Mus musculus: one gene and its partners. The protein of the gene in region 4 interacts with the protein of the main gene of each other region in a pairwise test. Links are inferred from orthologs where the notes say so. Each region holds a gene or a part of one and is shown on either strand. Other genes may lie near its edges.

The links.
Region 1: the proteins of Nt5c2 (region 4) and Nudt18 interact in binary tests that used the Homo sapiens proteins (3 or more experiments, as listed by UniProt). The two-hybrid records come from large-scale screens. The link is inferred for Mus musculus from reciprocal best matches to the Homo sapiens genes NT5C2 and NUDT18.
Region 2: the proteins of Nt5c2 (region 4) and Mob3b interact in binary tests that used the Homo sapiens proteins (3 or more experiments, as listed by UniProt). The two-hybrid records come from large-scale screens. The link is inferred for Mus musculus from reciprocal best matches to the Homo sapiens genes NT5C2 and MOB3B.
Region 3: the proteins of Nt5c2 (region 4) and Fxr2 interact in binary tests that used the Homo sapiens proteins (3 or more experiments, as listed by UniProt). The two-hybrid records come from large-scale screens. The link is inferred for Mus musculus from reciprocal best matches to the Homo sapiens genes NT5C2 and FXR2.
Region 5: the proteins of Nt5c2 (region 4) and Nme7 interact in binary tests that used the Homo sapiens proteins (3 or more experiments, as listed by UniProt). The two-hybrid records come from large-scale screens. The link is inferred for Mus musculus from reciprocal best matches to the Homo sapiens genes NT5C2 and NME7.

The regions. Positions count from the first base shown.
Region 1 is NC_000080.6:70,576,667-70,580,623, reverse strand, and holds the start of Nudt18 (8-oxo-dGDP phosphatase NUDT18), read right to left. Parts: upstream 2,801-3,957; 5' UTR 2,676-2,800; coding exon 2,514-2,675; exon of another isoform or gene 2,117-2,513; intron 1,713-2,116; coding exon 1,499-1,712; intron 1,291-1,498; coding exon 695-1,290; 3' UTR 1-694. UniProt on the Homo sapiens protein: Mediates the hydrolysis of oxidized nucleoside diphosphate derivatives. Hydrolyzes 8-oxo-7,8-dihydroguanine (8-oxo-Gua)-containing deoxyribo- and ribonucleoside diphosphates to the monophosphates. Hydrolyzes 8-oxo-dGDP and 8-oxo-GDP with the same efficiencies.
Region 2 is NC_000070.6:35,154,685-35,158,750, reverse strand, and holds the start of Mob3b (MOB kinase activator 3B), read left to right. Parts: upstream 1-1,266; 5' UTR 1,267-1,499; intron 1,500-2,591; exon of another isoform or gene 2,592-3,244; intron 3,245-4,066. UniProt on the Homo sapiens protein: Modulates LATS1 expression in the Hippo signaling pathway which plays a pivotal role in organ size control and tumor suppression by restricting proliferation and promoting apoptosis.
Region 3 is NC_000077.6:69,631,684-69,635,770, reverse strand, and holds the start of Fxr2 (fragile X mental retardation syndrome-related protein 2), read right to left. Parts: upstream 2,801-4,087; 5' UTR 2,454-2,800; coding exon 2,373-2,453; intron 372-2,372; exon of another isoform or gene 252-371; intron 1-251. UniProt on the Homo sapiens protein: mRNA-binding protein that acts as a regulator of mRNAs translation and/or stability, and which is required for adult hippocampal neurogenesis. Specifically binds to AU-rich elements (AREs) in the 3'-UTR of target mRNAs.
Region 4 is NC_000085.6:46,959,509-46,963,744, forward strand, and holds the start of Nt5c2 (cytosolic purine 5'-nucleotidase), read right to left. Parts: upstream 2,801-4,236; 5' UTR 2,764-2,800; intron 2,435-2,763; exon of another isoform or gene 2,080-2,434; intron 1-2,079. UniProt on the Homo sapiens protein: Broad specificity cytosolic 5'-nucleotidase that catalyzes the dephosphorylation of 6-hydroxypurine nucleoside 5'-monophosphates.
Region 5 is NC_000067.6:164,342,172-164,345,671, reverse strand, and holds part of Nme7 (nucleoside diphosphate kinase 7), read right to left. Parts: intron 2,459-3,500; coding exon 2,408-2,458; intron 454-2,407; coding exon 246-453; intron 1-245. UniProt on the Homo sapiens protein: Possesses an intrinsic kinase activity. Displays 3'-5' exonuclease activity with a preference for single-stranded DNA. Does not seem to have nucleoside diphosphate kinase activity.

The sequences.
Region 1 (3,957 bases), on a different chromosome or scaffold from region 4:
GCTCAAAGAGAAAAAGACTGGCAGAGGCCAACGTGTCATCCTCAGCTCTTTCTTGTTCCCTAGGCAGTTTCACCAGACCGAACCGTTCAACACCTGGACAGGTCTGAGCTGTGCTTTTATTAGGGGTGTGGTCACTTCAAAGTCCCACGCCCGCCCTGACAGGACAGGAACACTAAAAAGAGCCTGGGTGGGTCGAGGCTTCAGCGAGCATCGATGTCTGCCTCAGGATCCTTACATCCCTGCATAGCATCAGTGTGTACACGGTGAGGAAAGACCTGGGTGACTGTGGGTGGGACAGTGCCCCATATCCTCCCCACACAGACATTTAGGCAAGCAGGCAGGTTAAGCAATACCTTTTTACTCAGCAATGAGGACTCTGCCCTGAGGGATGCGTCCCCCATGTCCCATCCCTCTCTACATTCCTATGGGGTTGGAAGGATTGACATGCAGCCTTTTCCAAAGTGGACAAAGATGGTGCCATTTAGGGTTCAAAAAGTTCCTCACCAACTTAAAAGACAAGTACTGTGTGCCCTCAGAACTGAGCCCTTGAAAAGTGGATTCAAGACACCCTCCCTTTGGGCTCAATGTGTGGTCCCTGCCCCCTCAAAATGTGCAATGAGATCCCTGACTGCCAGCCTTTTCTCTGCCTCAGAGGGAGGGGGCAGCTCAGCTTTTGGTCCCTGCTGGAATCTCTCTATCTGCTCAGGGGGATCACAGAAGATTCCTGGAGTCTGTACAGAAGCAGTTTTTGTAAATCTTCCTCTAATACCTTCCACCAAAAGTAGTTTTCACCCCGAATCTTTGGGGGCTCGTCTTGGATTCCTGGGTTCCGAAAAGCCACGGTCACCAGCACATTCAGGCAGACACCATCCACATGGTCTCTGCCTAGGTGTTGCAACCCAAGCAACCCCTTGGTCTCCACTGCCAAACTGTGCAGAGTCAGACACTCCTGTAGGAGCCTCAAGATGGCCACCTTGATGCCGCCCCTTTGTTCCATAGGGGTAAAGCCACAGGCAGTGATGGGCAAGTGAGGTGTCCCCACCGTGCCCACCAACACCCACACCGACTGGACTGTTGTGAAGGTGGTCACCAGCCGTTGGCAGACCACACTGCAGGGGAGCTCTTGAGGCAGAATGAGAGGGTGCATGGCTTGTTGGCAGAATTTGGCGCCTAGCTCTACCAGGTGCAGAACATCATGGGCTCTAAGCGGTGTGGGCAGGGAGACCCGTGGGTACCAGCCGGCCTGGAGGGACTCAGAATCAGCATCTTTGGAAGTCTTGAGAACTCCGCCTAGGAGAGATTTGGGGGGTGGGGTGGGAAGAGGGCCAGTATGAGAAGGGTTGAGCCTGAGAGAGTAAATGGCCACCCCAACACTCCAGAGAGAGAGAGACCCCCAAAAGCTCTTAGCCCGTAGTAGGTCAATGGCCATAAGCAGAAGCCCACAGTATGGCTGGCTATGGATGAGGGACCGTGAGAAATGTCACTAGGTGGGGGATACCTGTTGGTCGAGCGAGGAACACAAAGCGGATCCAGGAGGCGCCCCTCTCCTCCACGGACAGCAGTGTCACTGGCTCACAGAGCAGCCCTGCCTCCTCCTTCACCTCCCGCTGCATGGCCTCCACGATGGTTTCTCCTGGTTCCATTCTTCCTGCAGGGAGGTACCATGTCCCCCGGCATTCCCTCTTGGCCTCCTGTATCATCAACACCTCATCCTGGGAGGGAGGGAAGTGAGACAATCTTCACTCCTACCCAGCCAGTCTGGGGGCTTCAGAAGAGTAGCCCCTACCTGGATGGCAGCCCAAAGCTCCCTTCTTGGTAGACAGACACCTTTAGGATGCTGGATCCTCAGGAGTCAGGCCCTGATATGGCTGAAAGCAGTGGCTGTCTCCGCTTTGCTGTAACTCAAACCCAGAGGGACTTCTGTTGTAGAAAGGGGCTGAGGACCTTGGGCGTTGCTCTAGGAGGCTTCCTCCTGAAGGTTGCCACCACTCCTATACTGACTCATTTATGCCACTGTCTTGCTCTTGTTCCCATGGGACTTACAAACCGCCTGTGTCAAGTCCTCAATCTAGGGTCTGAGGCTTTGAAACTTAGCTCCACCCCTATACCAACCTACCCCTTCTTGGCCAGGATTTTATAACGCTGACTTGTGCAGAAGTGATCACTAAAAAGAACTCTCACAGGATCGGAGGCCTGCATGTAAGCTCCCCATTACTCTCCCGAGGCGCCGGGAGAGTCTAGACTCCTGGAAAGGAAGGGGGCATATTACAGGCCTCTCCTGGTGGGGGGCGAGGTCTAGTGGATGAGATAAACCGCCCCGGGACCTCGGCTTCTCCTTCCATATTATAGAGTCTACAGAAGGACGATCTCAGCTCAGCTGCTAGTGTTGAGAGTGCTTTGCAACATTGGGAAGCGCCACATACAGGCAGCGGCCGTTGGCTCGCCTGTTCAGATCAGGGCAGGCGGCACGCTCCCGAGACCAGCCGAAGGCCAGCGGCCGGTCGGACGCTCACCTGCTCGTTGAGGAACACGGCCAGCACCACGTAGCAGACATTCTTCCGCAGCCGCACGGGAAACAGCGGCTTCCCAGCCGGCTCCGAGTCACAGCTCTGCACCAGCAACCCCTTTCCCCCCAGCACGGTGGCAAGCGCCCCTGCCAGGCCCTCCGTGGCCATCAAGTCTCCGGGGAGGTGGCAAGCCGGGACCTGCCAGACCCCCGGAGGCAAGCGGCCGGGACCTGAGCTGCGGTGGGCCGCGGCGCCCTCGCCCCCTCCCCTGACTTGAGGGCCAAGACTAACACGGAACCTCCGGGAGAGACCTGGTCGCTGATAGGCTGCGCGTCACTGCGGCCTGCCCGGATTGGCCAGCTCGCAGCGGTTATCGGGAGGGCGGGGCGCCGGGATCCTCCCTCTGCCCCCTCCTCTCCTGGGTTTCAGCCTCACTTCACACTCTCCCTAGCGATTAGCTAATTCACCCAGCACGCACTTGTCCGCGCGGGTTCCGACGGTGATGTCATCCTGCCTGTAGGGTGATGAACACCACTGTGACCAGGGTCGATGGCGTCACTCGTCCGATGACATTACGGAAGCCCAGACTCCGCCGTTCGCTCCCACTGTCCAGCTTTTATCATAAACGAACCACAGAAGTGCTCACGACGAATAGGCCCCAAATAACTTTCTGACTTCGTTAAAATGCTCTGAATGTGGTATGGCTCAGGCACATAACGTTGCGTTAGAAATTCTGATCTGTCTAGGTCGATGGACACAGGGCATTTTAAGAGTCCGAGGCTAAAGGATTGGTTTGGGGGTGGGGTGGGGGATGGGGAACGTGATTGACAAGCCTCAGAGGAGGGATGGGACAGGTGGTCAAGGTGGGACAAGGCTGGGGATGAGAAGAAGCTAAGGGGGGGGGGGATGAATGAAAGGGAGATTGAAGTCAGCACTGTAGCCTGCATCCGATCCTGTGCCCAATGCTTTTCCCAGGCTTCTGAAACAGACTCCATCTTTAGAGGGCAGGGGTGGTGCCCTCCTACCCAGCGTCCAGGGCCTGGTCATGAGGAACAGGGTGTGGGTTGTTTTGGCCAGCTCCTGCTTCTCTCCCAGCCTGACCTTTCTTCCTCTGAGCTTCTTTAACCTCCACTCAGGACAGGAAGGCAGGGCCAGCTGAGAGGAATCCACAAAGCAGGCCAAGTCTGGGCTCCTCACCCCATCCCAGACTTCCCTTTCCTCCCCCACTGCTGGCTCTGTGTACCTCCTTTGGGGGACAGTGGCTTGATGGTACTGACAAAGCTCTGGAGTTTAAAAGCCAGACATCCAGCCTCTGCTGACTGACGTGCTCTGTGCCCTGGGTGGCCTCAATGTCCTCATCTGTACAGTAGGTCTGTAACAGCCCTCCTTTTCCATACTTGTTGAGAAGCCAAGAGAGCTTGGGAGAAGCCATGCACTATCTGAACACCGT
Region 2 (4,066 bases), on a different chromosome or scaffold from region 4:
GGAGGGAAAAGGGTAGTCTCTGAGCCATGATGTGACTGAACAGTTAAGAAGACTGTCCCAGGCAGGGAGCATAGCAAGTGCTAAGGCCCCGTAGCAGGAGTTTTCCAAGCATTTGTGTGAGCCAAGTAAGGCACCACATATAGAGAGACTTTTGTGATGGAAAGGCTAACAGGAGTCGAGTATGGAAATATATCTCCTAAATTTCACCTAATTTACTTTCATTCTTTCAAACGTGTAGCAGAAGTTACGGAATGTGATCGCTAATCAAGTCATTTGATACTACCCAGCCGGCACACATCAAGATGTTTATAGGAGAATAAAAGCAGGTTGACACATCCACCTCATTTTTTTTTCTTTCAGTTCATGTTTGAAGACTCCTCCCAAGAACTAAGAGTACGTCTCATAATTGGTTTACTCATAATCACCCGGCGAGGTAGTTACGACTTCCACGCATTTTTGTCATGGTTTAATGCTGCTTTCCAAGGTGTTTCAGGCAGTCCACGGCATTTTACAGCTGGCAGAACATTTTGGAGAAGCGTAAGTCATTTGGCCCTTTCTGGATGCCTTGGAAAAAGCTCTTGTGGACTTCAGTTGGGGTGTCTATGGCTGTGATAAAACAGCATGACCAGAAGCAACTGGAGGAGGCAAGGGCTTATGTGGTTTATGCACAGTCCGCCGCAAAGGGAAGTAAGAACAGGAACTCAAGGCAGTTACCTGGAATCAGGAACTGAAGCAGACGCCATGGAGGAATGCTGCTCGCTGGCTTGCTTCTCATGGGATTTTAACCTTCCACCTAGGGCCCTGCTGGCTTCCTTCTCACAGGCAACAGCTTCTGGGACAGGAGATAAAGAGTAAGCTCCTCCAGCCGGAGCAGCGATGCTTGTAGATCCACGCGAGGCGCTTTCTTATACCCACCAGCACTACCTGCCCAACGCTGGCACAACCCACAGTCATTAATCAAGAAAATGCTGGACAGACTTATTAATAGGGTATTTTATGAGGGGTTTTTTTTTTAAGTCAAAATTCCCTCCTAAATATATCAAGGTTGTGTCAAGTTGACAAAGACCAACCAGGACAGCAGCATCTTTTCTACTCTGACATCTTTCTACCTACATTGGGCAGCGGACCAAAGTTGAGAGACTTAGACTGCTCATTGTCTCAGGCTCTTGTGGAGATTAGAGGATCCTAAGGGCAACAGGACTCCTCTTGCCCCCGCGTAGCTGCCTTTCCAGAGAAGGCCACCAGGGGACTCCGCTCTGAGCCGGTGAGTTGCAGTGGCGCCCGGGCGAGCTGCGCGGCGCGCTGGGTGCATGTGGGGGCCGCACCAGAGCCGTGGTCGCTGCATCTGGAGTCACGCGTGCTGGTCAGAAACCCCTCGCGTGAATCTGCAAGCATCGCTGCTCTGGCTGGAGGAGCTCACTCTTTTTCTCCGGCTCCAGAAACTGCTGCCGGCGTGAAGGAAACCAGCAGGGCCCTAGGCAGAAGGTTAAAACCCCACGGTAAGAGATCCTTCCAAGAGTGGTGTGGAGGCGCAGTCGCAGCTTCCCGCTTCGGATTGTGTCCTGGAGGGCCGAGGTGCGGGGCACACCTAGGGAGGATCAGTCGTGCGGACCCCAGTCCTCACCCCTCCTCCGCGAGCTTCCGGGGTTGGAGTCTGGTTTAGGCAGTACGGGCTTCTTGGCTTTCCTCTGCCTCCGGGTACGCACTTCCCGGGCTGGAATGTGAGTCCAGTTCCCACCCAGGGGGTCTGTGGCTTTGATCTGAAATACACCCCCTCCCTCCCCCTAAAGGGTGCAGATCTCACCCGGGACCCATTCTGAATCTCAGATGCGGGTGGGGTGCGCGTCGGCCTGAAGCGGCGGGAAGAGAAACTTTTACAAAGTGCATCTAAACAGGGCAACGCTCCTGGATCCCAGAGCAGGCTCGGCGTGGGGCTGTGTAGGGAGGGCTACAGCGCAGTCTCGATTTGTCCTCCCTGGCTACCTATGCCTCATCAAGGGAGGTATTAAGAATAAGTAAATTTTGCTCAACTTTTGGACCAACAACTGTCAAACATCTGGGATCGTTGCTCCTCCCTTTTCTGCACCGGAGAAGGTGAAAACTAAACTTTCCCTTCATTTCTCCTCCCCACCACTGGACCCCCAGGATGGGGTTGTTAATGGTAAAGAGCGGTTCCCGCCTCCTGGAGCGTGGCAGAGGCTCTAGACCACTCAGATTTCTTCCAGCCCCCTTTCAGACCCTCTGCAAGTCTTCCCCGCAGAGACGGGGCGACAGAGCCATTCTCCTGTAACCCAGTGAATGGCCTTTTGTTTCTCTGCGGTTCCACTATTGTTGCGCCTCTTAACATCTGGTGGGGCTCCAGCGGGGAAGGAAGTCCCTTTCGCCGCTCGCGGGGCCTTTCACGCTGGCCTTTGCGCAGGCTCGAGTCCGGGATCCCCGCTGGGGAAGGACAGAGTTCGGGACCTGGCTAGGCCGCCCCACCCGGGGCTTGTGGTTAGAGGGCGGAGGGAAAGTTGTTCCTGAGCCCGCCTCCTAGGCTGCTTGTGGCCCAGGGCGCATTTCTCAGATCTTATCCCCAGCGAATCTGAAACGAGAGATTGGAGGCAAAGTTCTCGAAAGCTAGGAGATCTGCGAGAGGGTCCAAAGGACTTTCAGAGGCGAGCTAAACGCATATGGAGGGCCCACAACCCGGGCGATGGCCGGAGACAGGGCACCTCATCTCTACGGAAAGTTCAGGGGTGGCAAAATTTTAAGGGCAGGCAGGCCATTGACCACAAAAGAGTGGAGACTAAAGCTAACCTGGGAAGGCTAAAGACTTTGCCTGGAAATGGTGGTGTCGTGATTCGCTGTGAAATGTTCGTGGGCTTCTGACTTCACCTAAGGCTCCAAGTTTAAGACCCAAATTTTTCGCCGCGATGCAGAAAAAGCAAGCCATGACTACGCAGTCCAAATGGCAGATGCGGCCAGAGCACTGTTTTGGTTTTCATCTGCCCGAGAACAGGTGGCTTGGGGTAGCCCCTATTTCTCCAGAGGGGGGCGCCTGTTGGACTATAGCAGGTCGGGTTTCCTGGAATAAGTTAGGTGCTTGCTTCTAGAGCAGTTAGCCTGTGTGGGTTACTTATTAAACAATCTTGGCAAGAGTAAAGTCACCTTCCAAAGTCCGCAGCGACCGGAACTGTCACCTGAGGGTCGACTAGAGGAGGTTTGATGGTATACACCTGTTGGGACCTGTGCCTCTTGCCAGGTTTGTAAATGTTGCCTTTGCCAATTTTTCCTGTGGAATTGCCAACCTTGGACTGTCTAGGAGATGCGGAAACATCCTTCCCCCACCCACCCACCCCCAGTTCTGAGTTTTGGCACCCTTCCTCTCCCACTCAGGGGAGTAAGAGAGGCTTATATGAGACCTGTGACCTCTGCACCTCTCCACCACTCCACCCTTGCTCGGGATGGGGCCCTAGCGTGTTAAACAAGCACTCTTACATCCCAACCCATCTTCAGATAGTTATAAGTTCTGGGCTCTGCACAGGTCTAGTTTGCCCTTAAACCTTAAAGTACTTTGAGAGACTGTTAACTCAAGAGAGGATCTATAGAGAAACTTTCGCCGTGACTTCTAGATCTTGACGGTGGGGTTCTGAAAAGAAAAACGGCAAATTCTCTGGAGTGCTCAAGACACTCTAATGATAAGGGCCCACAAGTTCGGATTTCTTTGAAATTTAACAGTAGCAGCACAGTAACAAACGACCTGCTGAAGAAATACTGCTTGGGTTTTGTTTGCTCAAGGAGTACAAGAAGGCGTCATTAAAGTTAAAGTCAGGGCTTGGGCCAGCCAAGAAGGAAAACACAATCATTATAGAGGAAAATAAGGGTGTTCAATTTCGTTAATATATATATATTCAATCTTATCCAATCATTTCCGTGGAATACATTGTTTCTGGAGACACAGTAGAGTTGATACATTGTTACGATATTGAAGACTGTGATATTGTCCATAGTAAACACATGCCAGTGTATCAACTCCTCAGCAATGTATAAGAGAAGTTACACTCTACTCACTCTAAGTGTTATC
Region 3 (4,087 bases), on a different chromosome or scaffold from region 4:
TTGGATACCCATATGTGTAACAGAATTCATGTCCCAGCCCAACCATGTCATACAGTTAATTGGAACTGAGCACTCATCTGTCCCAGCTGTGCATGGCTCCTGAGCTTCCTTAAACCAAATGCAAATATCTTATCTTGATCTCATACTCAATTTAAGAACCACTTTTCAAACTAAGAGTAGTTGTGGATGCTTTTAATCCCAGCACTCAACAAAGGCAGACCTATCCCACAGAGTTTGAGTTCAGGGCAGCCACGGCTACATAGAGAAATCCTGTACCCAGAAATCGAACGGGGGTGGGTGTGTGTGTAGGTGTGTGTGTGTGTATGTATGTATATACACACACACACCTACACACAGCTTTTTTGGAATTTTTAACATTTTGATGTTAGAAGGATACAGATGAAGACTAACATATCGAGGAAAAGAGAGCATAATAAAGAGTACTTTTTGGGTTTGTTTGGGTTGTTTTAGACTGGATTCCATTCCCCATGCTGGTTTTGAACTTCAACAATCCTACTTTAGCCTTCTAAGTACTAGGGTTAGAGTATGTACCACCATACCCAGCCTGAGGAGACTGTTTTAACAAAGGTAATACAAATGTGGGTGAAATAGATATTAAAACATTAATGTGTCCTCTCAGAAGCCAAAAGAATTAAAGACTTTTGCTACAGAAAACAGAAATGTTAGAGACACTGTTCTGGTCTGAAGAAAAAGTACCAAGAGTTAGGAAAGTGACAGAATCAGCTAGGAGCCTTCTTCAGCTATACACAGACTAGACAGGTAGACATCATCAAGGATACACAGGAATACAGAAATACCAAGCTAAAAAGACCGAGACTTAGTTGAGAAGCTGCATTAAAGCTAATAGGTATGTGCACCCATAGGCACTGGGTAAAGAACTTGATCAGAAAAGGGAAAAAAATGGCCTGGCCTTTATAATGGATAACTAGCATATCAGTTGAAGTGAGGGTAGGAACCATCTACAGGGGTAGGGCAAACCTAAGTCTTTTTTCAGCTACAAAAAAGATACAATTTCATAGTAGAGTCAGAGAAAGTTATTTCCAAGGGCATAAGAAAGTAGAAGTTCTACTAGGGTAGGGGGACAGACAACCTGAGGAAACCTGAAGAAAAAGGGGCTCTTCTCACCCATCTCATGCTATGGAAATTCCTCTTTCTCTCCAGGATGAAGAGTAAGAGAGGGACCAAACGTGTCCGGGACAATTCCACTCATAAAAGTCAAAAGATGTTCAGAACCCCACTGATCAGAAGAAGAAAATATCTGGGGCGTGGGATCCAGAATAGACTCAGGACAGATACAGAAGATGGGGTGGGTGGTGGATAGAAAGAAGGAAAAAACAAAAGTCTGGTCTGGCATGGTGGCTCAACCAGTAACGCCAGAGCTGTAATCCTAGGCTGAGGAAGAGTTCAAGTGCAGCCAGGGAGGGGATCTTGTCCCAACCACACCCCTTAAAAAAGTTCACAGGAATCAAATCTTAGGCAAAGAAAAAGCTGATTAAAGAAGCAATTCTGAAAGATACTTTTTTTCTTTCCAGAAGGATTGTCAACAAGCAGAAATCTGTTAGAATAAGAACTTGTTGAGATGGCCTTTGAGAGACAGTGAAGCTTAAACTTACCAAGAAGATAGAGGAATGACCTAAATATATCTAGAGTCAAAGAGATAAGCGTGAATCCATCCCTCATAGGTGATTTTGGAATATAGGTGTGGTGGGTGACAAACTTGTCCAACAAATCCACTTTATGGCTGGCTGATAAAAACCTGAGGCCAAAGATGCTAATGCTAAATAACACAGATGGGTTTTGACCATTTCTTGTCAGCCTGGGAACAGGAATTTAAGACCAAAAGTTGAGCAAATGGTCTAGAGCCAGTAGGCAGAAGGCTCCCTGAAGACCTAATGTGGGACAGTGGACCTTCCCAAGGGGGTCATGTAGGAAAAGAATGCGAATCCTCCATGTGCTTGGGCTGCAGGGGTGATGTGATTAAAAGCTGAAGTATCGCCTACACTAAAAAAAAAAAAAAAAAAAAAAAAAAAAAAAAAAAAAAAAAACAAGAAAAGTCGATTAGAAGCTAGGAAAAGGGCTTTCTCCAAAGGGACCCGGGGCTCCCATCCCCGCACAGGAATGACCTGATGGCCATGTTTTCAGCTGATAAAAGCAGGTGTAACAGCGAGCTCAAAATAAAAGCACGAGGGTTAACTCCCACGATCGCCACGGGAGGGTTTCGAGTGGGAACGTGGGTCGAAGGTTCTAAGGGTCAAGACCAAGCTCCAGAAACTCGATCCCGCTCCACTCTTCCCTGCCTCGGCTGGGGGAGGGGGCTAAGGAGGGTGGCCCGGGTCGACGCGCCGTCTCACCTTGTAGAAGGCCCCGTTGGAGCCCCGCACCTCGACGGGCAGTCCCGGCTCCACATCCCCCCCAGAGGCCAGGCCGCCCATGGCGCCGCCACCACCTCCGACTGGCCCGGCAGCAGCTGAAACAGAGCCCTGAGTGCGGGCCGGGCCGGGTCCCCGGCGTCTCCCTGGAGGAGGAGCCGGAGGGGGAGCCGCGGGGGGCGGGAGCCGGGCCGGCCCCACGGCGGCCCTGCTACAGCCGACGAGCAGGGGGCCGGGGCCGGGCCGCTCCCCGTCCGCCGCCGCCGCCGCTGCCTTGGTCTCCGCCACCGTGAGGGAAACGGCCGCCGCCGCCGCCGCCGCCTTCGTCACCTCAGCTTCCGCCCGCCGGCGCCCCCGCTGCTGCCTCGGTCCCGGGACCCGCCGCTGCCGCTCCACGGCCTCCACCTCCCCCTGCTGCCGCCGCCTACTGCGCAGGCGCACAGGGCACCCGCCCGCCGCGCGCGGAGCCGGAGGGCCAAGGCGCAGGCGTCTAGGCTAGCGACCCAGCTCCCGCTCGCCAGCGCGTCAGGGCTTCCACATTCTCTTGCACTCTCTCACGCCCCCTCCTGGTCGCCTCTCTGCGCTTGCGCAGAACGAGGCGAACGCTCTCTGTACCACTCCAACCTTCCACTGTCCCTGTCCCTTCCTTTCCCCGCCCCACAACACTGGAAGCAAACCAATCAAAGGGAGAGGGGGGCCGCGCTCGCTGCATCGGATTGGACTTCCGCCTCCACAAAGTGAGCCCCATGGAGCCTGGGCAATTTAGGGATGGGCATGCGCCCGAATGACTGCTTGGTCACTTTCACCACCTTTGTCTTTCTTGGTGCGCACACTCCAAAAAGGGGGGGGGGGGGGGAACCAAAAGGCAAAAACTGCCCAGTGCGCAGGCGCTGGGCTTTGGTGTCCATGCGCATGTGTTGACTCTCTGCATCCATAGGAGAATCAAGAGTCACTGTTGTTGGCTTAAGTAGACTTTTTTTTTTTTTTTTTTTTTTTTTTTTTTTAAGTTTTGTGAGACAGGGTCTCTTGTGTCCTAGGCTGACCATGAACTAACTAGGTAGTGGGGGAATGACCTTGAATAGGTCCTCCAACCTCCACCTCCCAAGTGCAAAAATTACAGCCATGTCATTACCATGCTTGCCCTAAGTTGACTAGTATTCTAGTAAATTTAGTGCCGTATGAAAAACAAAATGCCACATAACTTGATGCATAAATTCTGAGGGGATTCAATACAGGAAAAACTGTCATGGAGTAACAAAAGAGAGAGAGAGAGATGGCTCGAATACGAAGCTTAACGGGAATTGTATTCCTAGACCACAAAATGGAAGGAGATATCCTCCTGCAAGTTGTCTCCTGAACATCATACATATAACATCACTCGTGGTCACCCACACGTATAACAGATTTTTTTTTTTTTTTTGTAAAAATAAGGGGTGTGAGGTGGAGAGATGGCTCAGTGGTTAAGAGCACTGACTACTCTTCCAGAGGTATTGAGTTAAATTCCCAGCAACCCCATGGTGGCTCACAATCATCTATAATGGGAACTGGTACCCTATTCTGGTGTATTTGAAAACAGCAATAGTGTACTCATATACATTAAATAAATACTTAACAAAATAAAATAGGATCAGTGTTCAAACTACAGGTTGTGTCGTCAAGATTTAAGCTGCCACCACAATGATTGAGGCTGCTAACAA
Region 4 (4,236 bases):
CTCAGGTTTGAACCTAAAAAAAAAAAAACACCTCCCCTCCCACATATTATTTTTAAAGGGGTGGTAGGGGTTCCTTTTATTCATTTTGCTCTAGCTCCAAAGAATCCAAGTCACATTATGTTGTAAAGAGCTTACCAGAACATCTGTTACTAGCTTCGTCTGGTACTACTGCCCTTAAACTGTCCGTAAGCTGTCTCCTGGCTGGAAGTACAGCTTTCACTACTCACTTGTCACTTAGCATATGCCTTGTGATAGTCAGCATCTCATGTTAGTAGATGCTGTCACAAAAGCTAAAAACATCACATCAACAAACACTTCCTGAAAGCATGTGTGCCCGCACTGCCTGCTATCCTGCATAAAGGCCTGGTATAAAGCATCCAAAAATGAAAATAAGATCAAGTCCAGTAGCAGTGTGTACTCAGCAATCATCACTAAGTAAAAACCTACATTTGAGGTCACCCGTAGTGGCTCACTTTGCAATCCAAGCTATGCAGGTCTCTGGGACCAGCCCAGAGCACAAAATGTCTGAGACCTTATCGCAAAAAAGCTAGAAAACAAAAAAGTAAAACATAAGTAAATCTCTTGGTAAGATGTCAGCAGGTTGGTTTTTGTTTTGCTTTTTGGAAAGAGTGAAGCAGTAAAGCACCCCCGCCCACCCCCTTTTTCTCAAGCCCAGGCAAGCATGGTGGCACATGCCTACAATCCCAGCGCTTTGGAGAGCTGAGGTAGGACGATCCCAAATTAGAGCCCCGCCTAAGCTACACGGCCAATTCAAGGTGCGCGGGTGGGTGCTAGGCCCTTGGAAGAGGAACCCAAAATGAGCAGCTTAAAAAGGCTCTTCCTCAAAATAAAAAAGGCCTGAACGTAGTTCAATAGTAGACTGCTTTGCCTAGCCTAAGCTTAGTCCCTAGTTCAGTCCCCAGTAGAGAGATCCTGTACACTTTTTAAAAACTATTTTTTGTTTTTGTTTTGTTTGTTGTTTTGTTTTGAGACAGAGTCTCTAGTAGTTCTGGCTGTCCTGAACTTGCTACCTAGACCAGGCTTGTCACCTGACCCTGCGTCTCCAGTGAACCACCACACCAAACTGAGAACCTACAGTTTATAGACACAGGCCAAGAAATGTGTGCACAGTACTCAGAAAACTGAAGAATTTTTAGGATAACCTGGGATGCATAGTGAAACGCAGTAACATAAACATCAACTTTTTCTAAATACCATGTTTGAGACACCAATTTCCTCATACAGCTGAGTCCCCCATAACCTGGCTCTCTTCAGGAAGACGTATGTCATCTAGTAAGGCCAGCAGGCACTCTGAGTACTCATATTTACCAAACGCTTCTGATGACTGTACTGTTTCATACGACAGAACCTTGAAGGGCATCTTATTTTACAGATTAATGCTGGCTGAGAATAATGCAACAACCAATAGTACTGAATTTGGCTTTTTGTTCATTTTTTTGGTAAGAGTGAAGCTTAAACCAGTTTTTCAAGCTCAGGCATGGTGGAACAAGCCTATTAATATCTGTTAGGGACCTGGAAGAGAAAGATCCCAAGTTCGAGGCCACTAGGGTACAGAGCCTGTTCGAGGCCTACAAACAGGTTCATATTGTAATGGAAATGCTCTTCGGAAGCAAGCCGGGAAGCATCAATCCTTGTATCAACAGCCCAGCATAACCACCTTGCCACTACGAGCACCCGCAACGATTTTATTGCAATTTTTAACCAGCTGGTTTGTTAAACTGAACCTCTAAGCCCTGATGTCTTCTCTTACATTCTTAGCCATTGATGGAAAATGCTAAGGTGACTATGTGAAAGACCTGAAGTCTTTCTGTACTCACTACGTCTACGATAAATGGCACCGTTTTAACATCCTCCCCCTACACATGACGGCCAAAGGAATTTGCATCCCTTAAGAAAAATTATAGGTCTACGGTCATTATGAAACAATGTGCGGGGGGGGGGGGGGCGCAGAGAAGTGGTGGGGAACACGCAACCGTGTTGAGTGACTAGTCATTTCAGAGTGCTCTATTAGAGCACAGCCCTCGACTACCGAGGCTGTGAAACAAATCCGACACAAACCTTCATCTAATGCTTTTAAAGGCTGCGGCCAGGCAAAGCCAACCGCTCAAAACGCTGTTCTTGTAACAGGCCCCACTTCTGCATCTCGCCCTGCAGGGCTTCGGGGGCCCCAGAAAAAAAAAGGCGAGGGACAAACCGCCTCCAAACGTCTTTAGGCGAGACTTGCAATTGATGTGAGCTTTCCAGGAAGTACTGCGCACCACAAAACTGGCTCGTGGGCCATTCCGCGGGCAGATCCAAACCCTGCCAGGCTCGCAGCCCATGAGGGGAGCCCCGCACCCGCCTCACGAGAACTGAGGCCAGGCTGCCAGCCCAGAGAGACCAGGGGAACCGAGAGCGGCGCCTGCCCGCCCACTCCGCGAGAAAGGCGGGGTCCCAGCTAGCGGACGCTGGGAAACAATGGCGCGAGCATGACGTGGGCCGGGGGCGTCGCCGCCGCGCGGGGAAGGGGCTGCGGCGGGCCGGGGGCGCCCGGGCCGGGGGCGTGCGCCACGCCGGGGCGCTGAGGCCGCGGGCGCGCGGGCAGATCTGGGCCGGGGTAGGGAGCCCTGAGGAAAGGGACGCCGGGCGGACGGCGGGGGCCGCTGGGTCGCGCGCTGGGCCGCGCATCCTCCCCAGCCTGCTCGCTCGCCGCCCGCCCGCTCCAAGCCCCCTCCCGCCCGCCGCGGGTGCCGCCGCACTCACCGGCCGCACCGCACGGCAGCAATCCTAGCGCGCAACTGCCGCAGCCGCCTCGGCGCGCGCCCTCCCCGCCCCCGCCGCCCCGGCACCGCCCCCAGCTCGCGCCCGGCCAGGGACCGGCGCTCTGTTCCTTACCCGGGCTCCGCCGCAGAAGCCGGCCGCGGCGATGCTCCCTGGCGGGCGGTCCTGTCTCAGGGCCCCTCACAGGGCTCGGGGAACTTCCCACCACAGAACTCCCAGAGCTGCTAAACTCCGAGGGTGATGCACGTTAACAACCTATCCATTTCCTAGGAATAACCACCTCTTGGCTTTTTGCCTGCTCCCCTCAGCACACTCCTGGCTGCCCCGCCCCTACCTTAGGTGACCACGCCTACTCTGCGAGAGGCTTTCCCTAAGGTGGGAAGAGTGTGTCCCTTACTCCTAGCAGCTTACTCCTAGACAAACGAACCAGAGGGTCTCCCTGGAAGACCTTGAACTCAACTCCATGATAATCATAGGGACCAGCTTTGGGGTTTATCAGAATGAGTTCAAATCCTAGTTTCACTACTTACCCAGGGAACCAACCAAGGAACCTGACTACACACAGTTGATTTATCCGAGATATTATTGATAGAATGAAACAATACAGACTCCAGGCTTAGTTCTGGATCCTAGCAAACAATAAATAGTAGTTGAATACACTGACACCCGTTACCGTACTTCACTACAAGACAGCCCACCCACTATGTCCAGAACACTGCATTCCTTAGTCTGGGCAGCTCTGGAATTCATCGCAAAGACCAAATTCTAGTCCTGGGAGCCTCGGAAAAGCAACTGATCTACTGGTTCTTCGACCTTGGACTTTGCCCAAGATCTTCCCGAGTTGGGGATATTTGATCCCTCCCATTGTTTTTCCTCTGTCCTAATTCTGAGGATCTTTGTCTTTCTCTCAGGCATTTGGCTGATTTGATTTTGATTTCCTTTAGATGGTATCATCCAAGACTAAGCCAAGTTTTGTAGTACCATCATAATCAAGGAGGACTATGGCTTCCACTTTGTAACAGCGCCTTGCATTTGTGCAGTAAAGTTCTCAGTGAACACTAAGTATGGTAGCTTGCCGGGAGTCCTAGCTTCTGGAGATGCTAGGACTAAGGCAAGAGGATTACGTGAGCCCAGAATTTGAAGTTAACCTGAGCAACATAATGAAAGAAAGAAAAAAGGGAGAGGAAGCAATGGTGAGGGGGGGGGGGGGAACAAGGAAGAAAGAGGAGGAAGGAGAAGAAAATGAAAAAGAGAAGAAAGTTCTTGGCAGACATACTACTGACTCATTACACTTGCAGTCAACCTGAACCACAGGGTGTTTTTGAAAACAGGAGGGCTCTGCTAACAGCTTCTACTTACCCTCCTGTGCCTTTCACCCTGCCTAGGTCAGCTGAGGATAAGCCCCTATTAGGCTTTTCACCTATTAGGCTTTTCAACATGGGAAAAATGGCATGT
Region 5 (3,500 bases), on a different chromosome or scaffold from region 4:
TGGCAACAAATGTCAGATTTTGAGAAAACTGCACTCAACAACAGCAACCAACAGGACTAATTTTAAAAGGGGGCATGGCTTTGAATCCCTATTTGATCCTAGAAAACCGTCACCAGGTGTTTCCCACTACTACATTAGCTGTTCAAAACCTCCCAAAGTCCTCAGCAGGAGAAACGTTTTACTTTGACACACACAAAAAATTCCCAAATAAAACAGAAGGAAAATATTTCTCAAAACCAACTTACTCTGGCAGCAGATGCAAAAGTATCAGGGCCGTGAGCTGCATTTCTCACGCCATCTGTCCCAAAGAGGGCTCGGATGCTTCCGGGGGCATCTGTCCGTGATAGCCCAGAGTTTGCGGGTCCAAGCAACCTTTTCCACTCACAGATCGCGTCATCTCTTAAGATCTCCATGGCAATAACAGGCCCACTTGTGATAAACTGGATCAGTTCGCTGGGAAGCAGGGGAAAGCCCGAGTTACTTCTCTACTACAATCTAGACACCTGCTAGACTACGAAGACATGTTAGGACATCAGTAAGCTCGAGGACTGGCCTGCTTGGGATCCGTTTCTGGGAAAAGGGGAGTGCCTTACAGAGACTGAGTTTGCTACAAAATCATTACAGAAGATATGACAAGGTCACTTCTGTTTGGAAGGGAAGGAGACACTTGTTGAATTTGGATGATTATGCCAACGTAAAATGCACATGGCTGATCTGATATTCCCCACTACTCTAAGAAGGACAAAGCTGATTCCATTTTAGTTTCCTAACAGTTTACCACAGCAGTCAGGGAGAATGTTATAACAGCAGTGACAAGCATGGTATTTCGTAACATTCTCAAGAAGGACTTAGTTAATTCTGTTGTGTGTAACTACTGCAATGCAGAGAGTGACAACTCTAAGTCAGTGTGATAAAGAAAAAGAATGGCAACAGGCCTTCAAAAACAGGCCTTCGTTAGGAGGAAACCTGCCTGGGTAATGATATCTAAGGGGTGGACCAGACGCACGGCTTTTATTGAAGTTTATGTCTGAGTCCCAGTTCCCTGGAAATGAAAGCTGACGCTTCATTCTCTTTTCCTATTTCTTCATGTGCACGCGATGCAACGATAAATTTAACTCGAAATAAAGTGACGTCCTGCCTCTTACCTTCTAAAGGAGAGGCAAACCAGAGAGAGGACAGGGCCTTCTCAGAGAAAGGAAGGCAGTGTACGGGCCTTCCCATGCCTATTGCCTTAGGGCTGCATGGAATACAAGCTTCTGAGCCCTTCACTAATCTCTGCAGTTCACGTAGTAGAGCATTTCCAAGAAATAGCATGTAAAAGGAAGTATCTACAGCCACAGTGCTAAGAGGACAAGACCTCCTCAAACTTCTGCTAGGCTTTAGCAGCCAAAACCAAAACCAAACAAAAAGAAGAAAAGAGAACGAAGGAAAGAAGGAAAGAAGGAAGGGAGGAAGGGAGGAAGGGAGGAAGGAAGGAAGGAAGGAAGGAAAGGAGGAAGGAAGGAATTTAATTATCAATATTATCCACATGTCAAAATCTAAGCCATAAAATAAGATCCAACCTCAAACAATCTAATCTAGTATCCAATTAACACAGAATTCTCTAATGTGGCATGTGACAACTAAGGGAATGGTGGGCTACTGAGAAGATACTGATCATGACTGACTTCCAGTTTCTCTAGCTAGTCATTTGTTAAGTCTCAGTGCCACAGAACCAGCTAATTTATTCATTGAAACTTTCTGCATATGAATTATATAGACAATATTAAACTAAGAGCTGTAATTTAGTATTATAAAAGCATACAAAGAATCTAAAACAAAGAATAATTGCCAAACAAATGTATATGATAATGCTAACAAAGTTTAGGAACATTTTATAATATATGGTAGTTCACAAGATATGATATACAATAATTTTGTTATAAATATTTCTTTTTTAAAAGTTATTCTTCTATGTATGATATCAAATAAAATGTCTACTGTAGCAGATTGGCTAATATTTCATTGTCTTTATTAGAATTTGTCATTCCTTTGTCCATGACAGTGAGTATGCACATTTCACTTTAATTACATCCAAATTCTTAGAATAGATTTCAGTTTCTAACATATATGATTAGTCATTGCCAATGAAACAAAACACATATCCTTATTTAGTTTTGTGACTACTGCTTTGTCCATACTAGATATAAAAATAAAGGCCTTAAAAGCACAACAAAATTGCCAACATAAAATATAATTACAAGCATGGTCTTTTAATTCAATGAGATATAAAAGAGATGTTTCTTAAAACAAATAGGTCACCCATTTGTTTCTGATTAAAGGTTCAAGTATTGAGTGGTGGATATAAAAAGTCTTATCTATTAAAAGTATAAAGAAAATAATTTTAGTCCCCAAGCTGAGTACCTACTTATAAAAAGGTCTTGAGTGATGGTCTACATGAAAGTCCGCTGCTTCTTTCCTATAAGATAATAAAAATACAAACAGTTAAAATTTATAAAAATATTTTAGCTTATATTCATAAACTAAAATAAAGATTAAAGCACACACACATGATCTATATATAAACTAATTAATGTTCTTTCCACTAAATAGCATATCCCAAGTAATGATCCTACATATGGAAAGATATAAAATTAAAGTAAGAGGATATTTTTACTTTTTTTATTAATGTTACACTTCACCTGTCTTCCATTCTACTAGCATCTCATTCTATTGTTAATACAATGTTAGATATCAGATCAGTAAGAGTGTTTGTTACTTAAAATCTAAACAAGTCACATAAAAAAATGGACAGCTTCTAATTCAAAAATTAGAATTAATTTTAAGCTTTCAAATTTAGGCTCCAGTTTATTTTATTTTTGTCATTTGCTGGGATAAACCTGGGACCTCACCCATGCTAGGAGGGACTCTTCTCTTGAGCGACATCTCAAGCCCTGTAGTTTTTAACTTACTAGTTGTTGCTTAGTTCTTAGCTAGATATATTCAAGGAAAAGATCTACATATTTGTATTTTTAATTGCTTCACAAATTATACATATTAAAATCTACATTTCCACTAAAAGTATCTATAGAGACAATAAAAAGATACTATAATCTAAACTGGTAAGCTTAAAGATCTAATAAAAGCTTTCTTCTCCCCGACCAAAATCCTAACTGTGCAGATTTCTTACTGGATTGAAAAGATTTTATGTTATGTAACAACTATATATAAACACCAACTAATCTTTTAAATGTTAATGTATTTTAAATGTAGAGGGTTTAGCCTGCACGTCTCTTTAGCACATGCATGCAGTACCTGCTGTCTCCAGAGGAGGGTGCCAGATCCCCTAGAGTTACAGATGGTTATCTACCTCCTTGTGGGTACTGGGAACCGAACTGGGCTCCTCTGGAAGAGCAACCAGTGCTTTTCTCTGCTAAGCCATCTCTTCAGCCCTTCAACTATTTTTTAAAATTGCAAATAAACTAAGTGTTCACTAGCAAAAACCCTTTTAAACTTTTAAA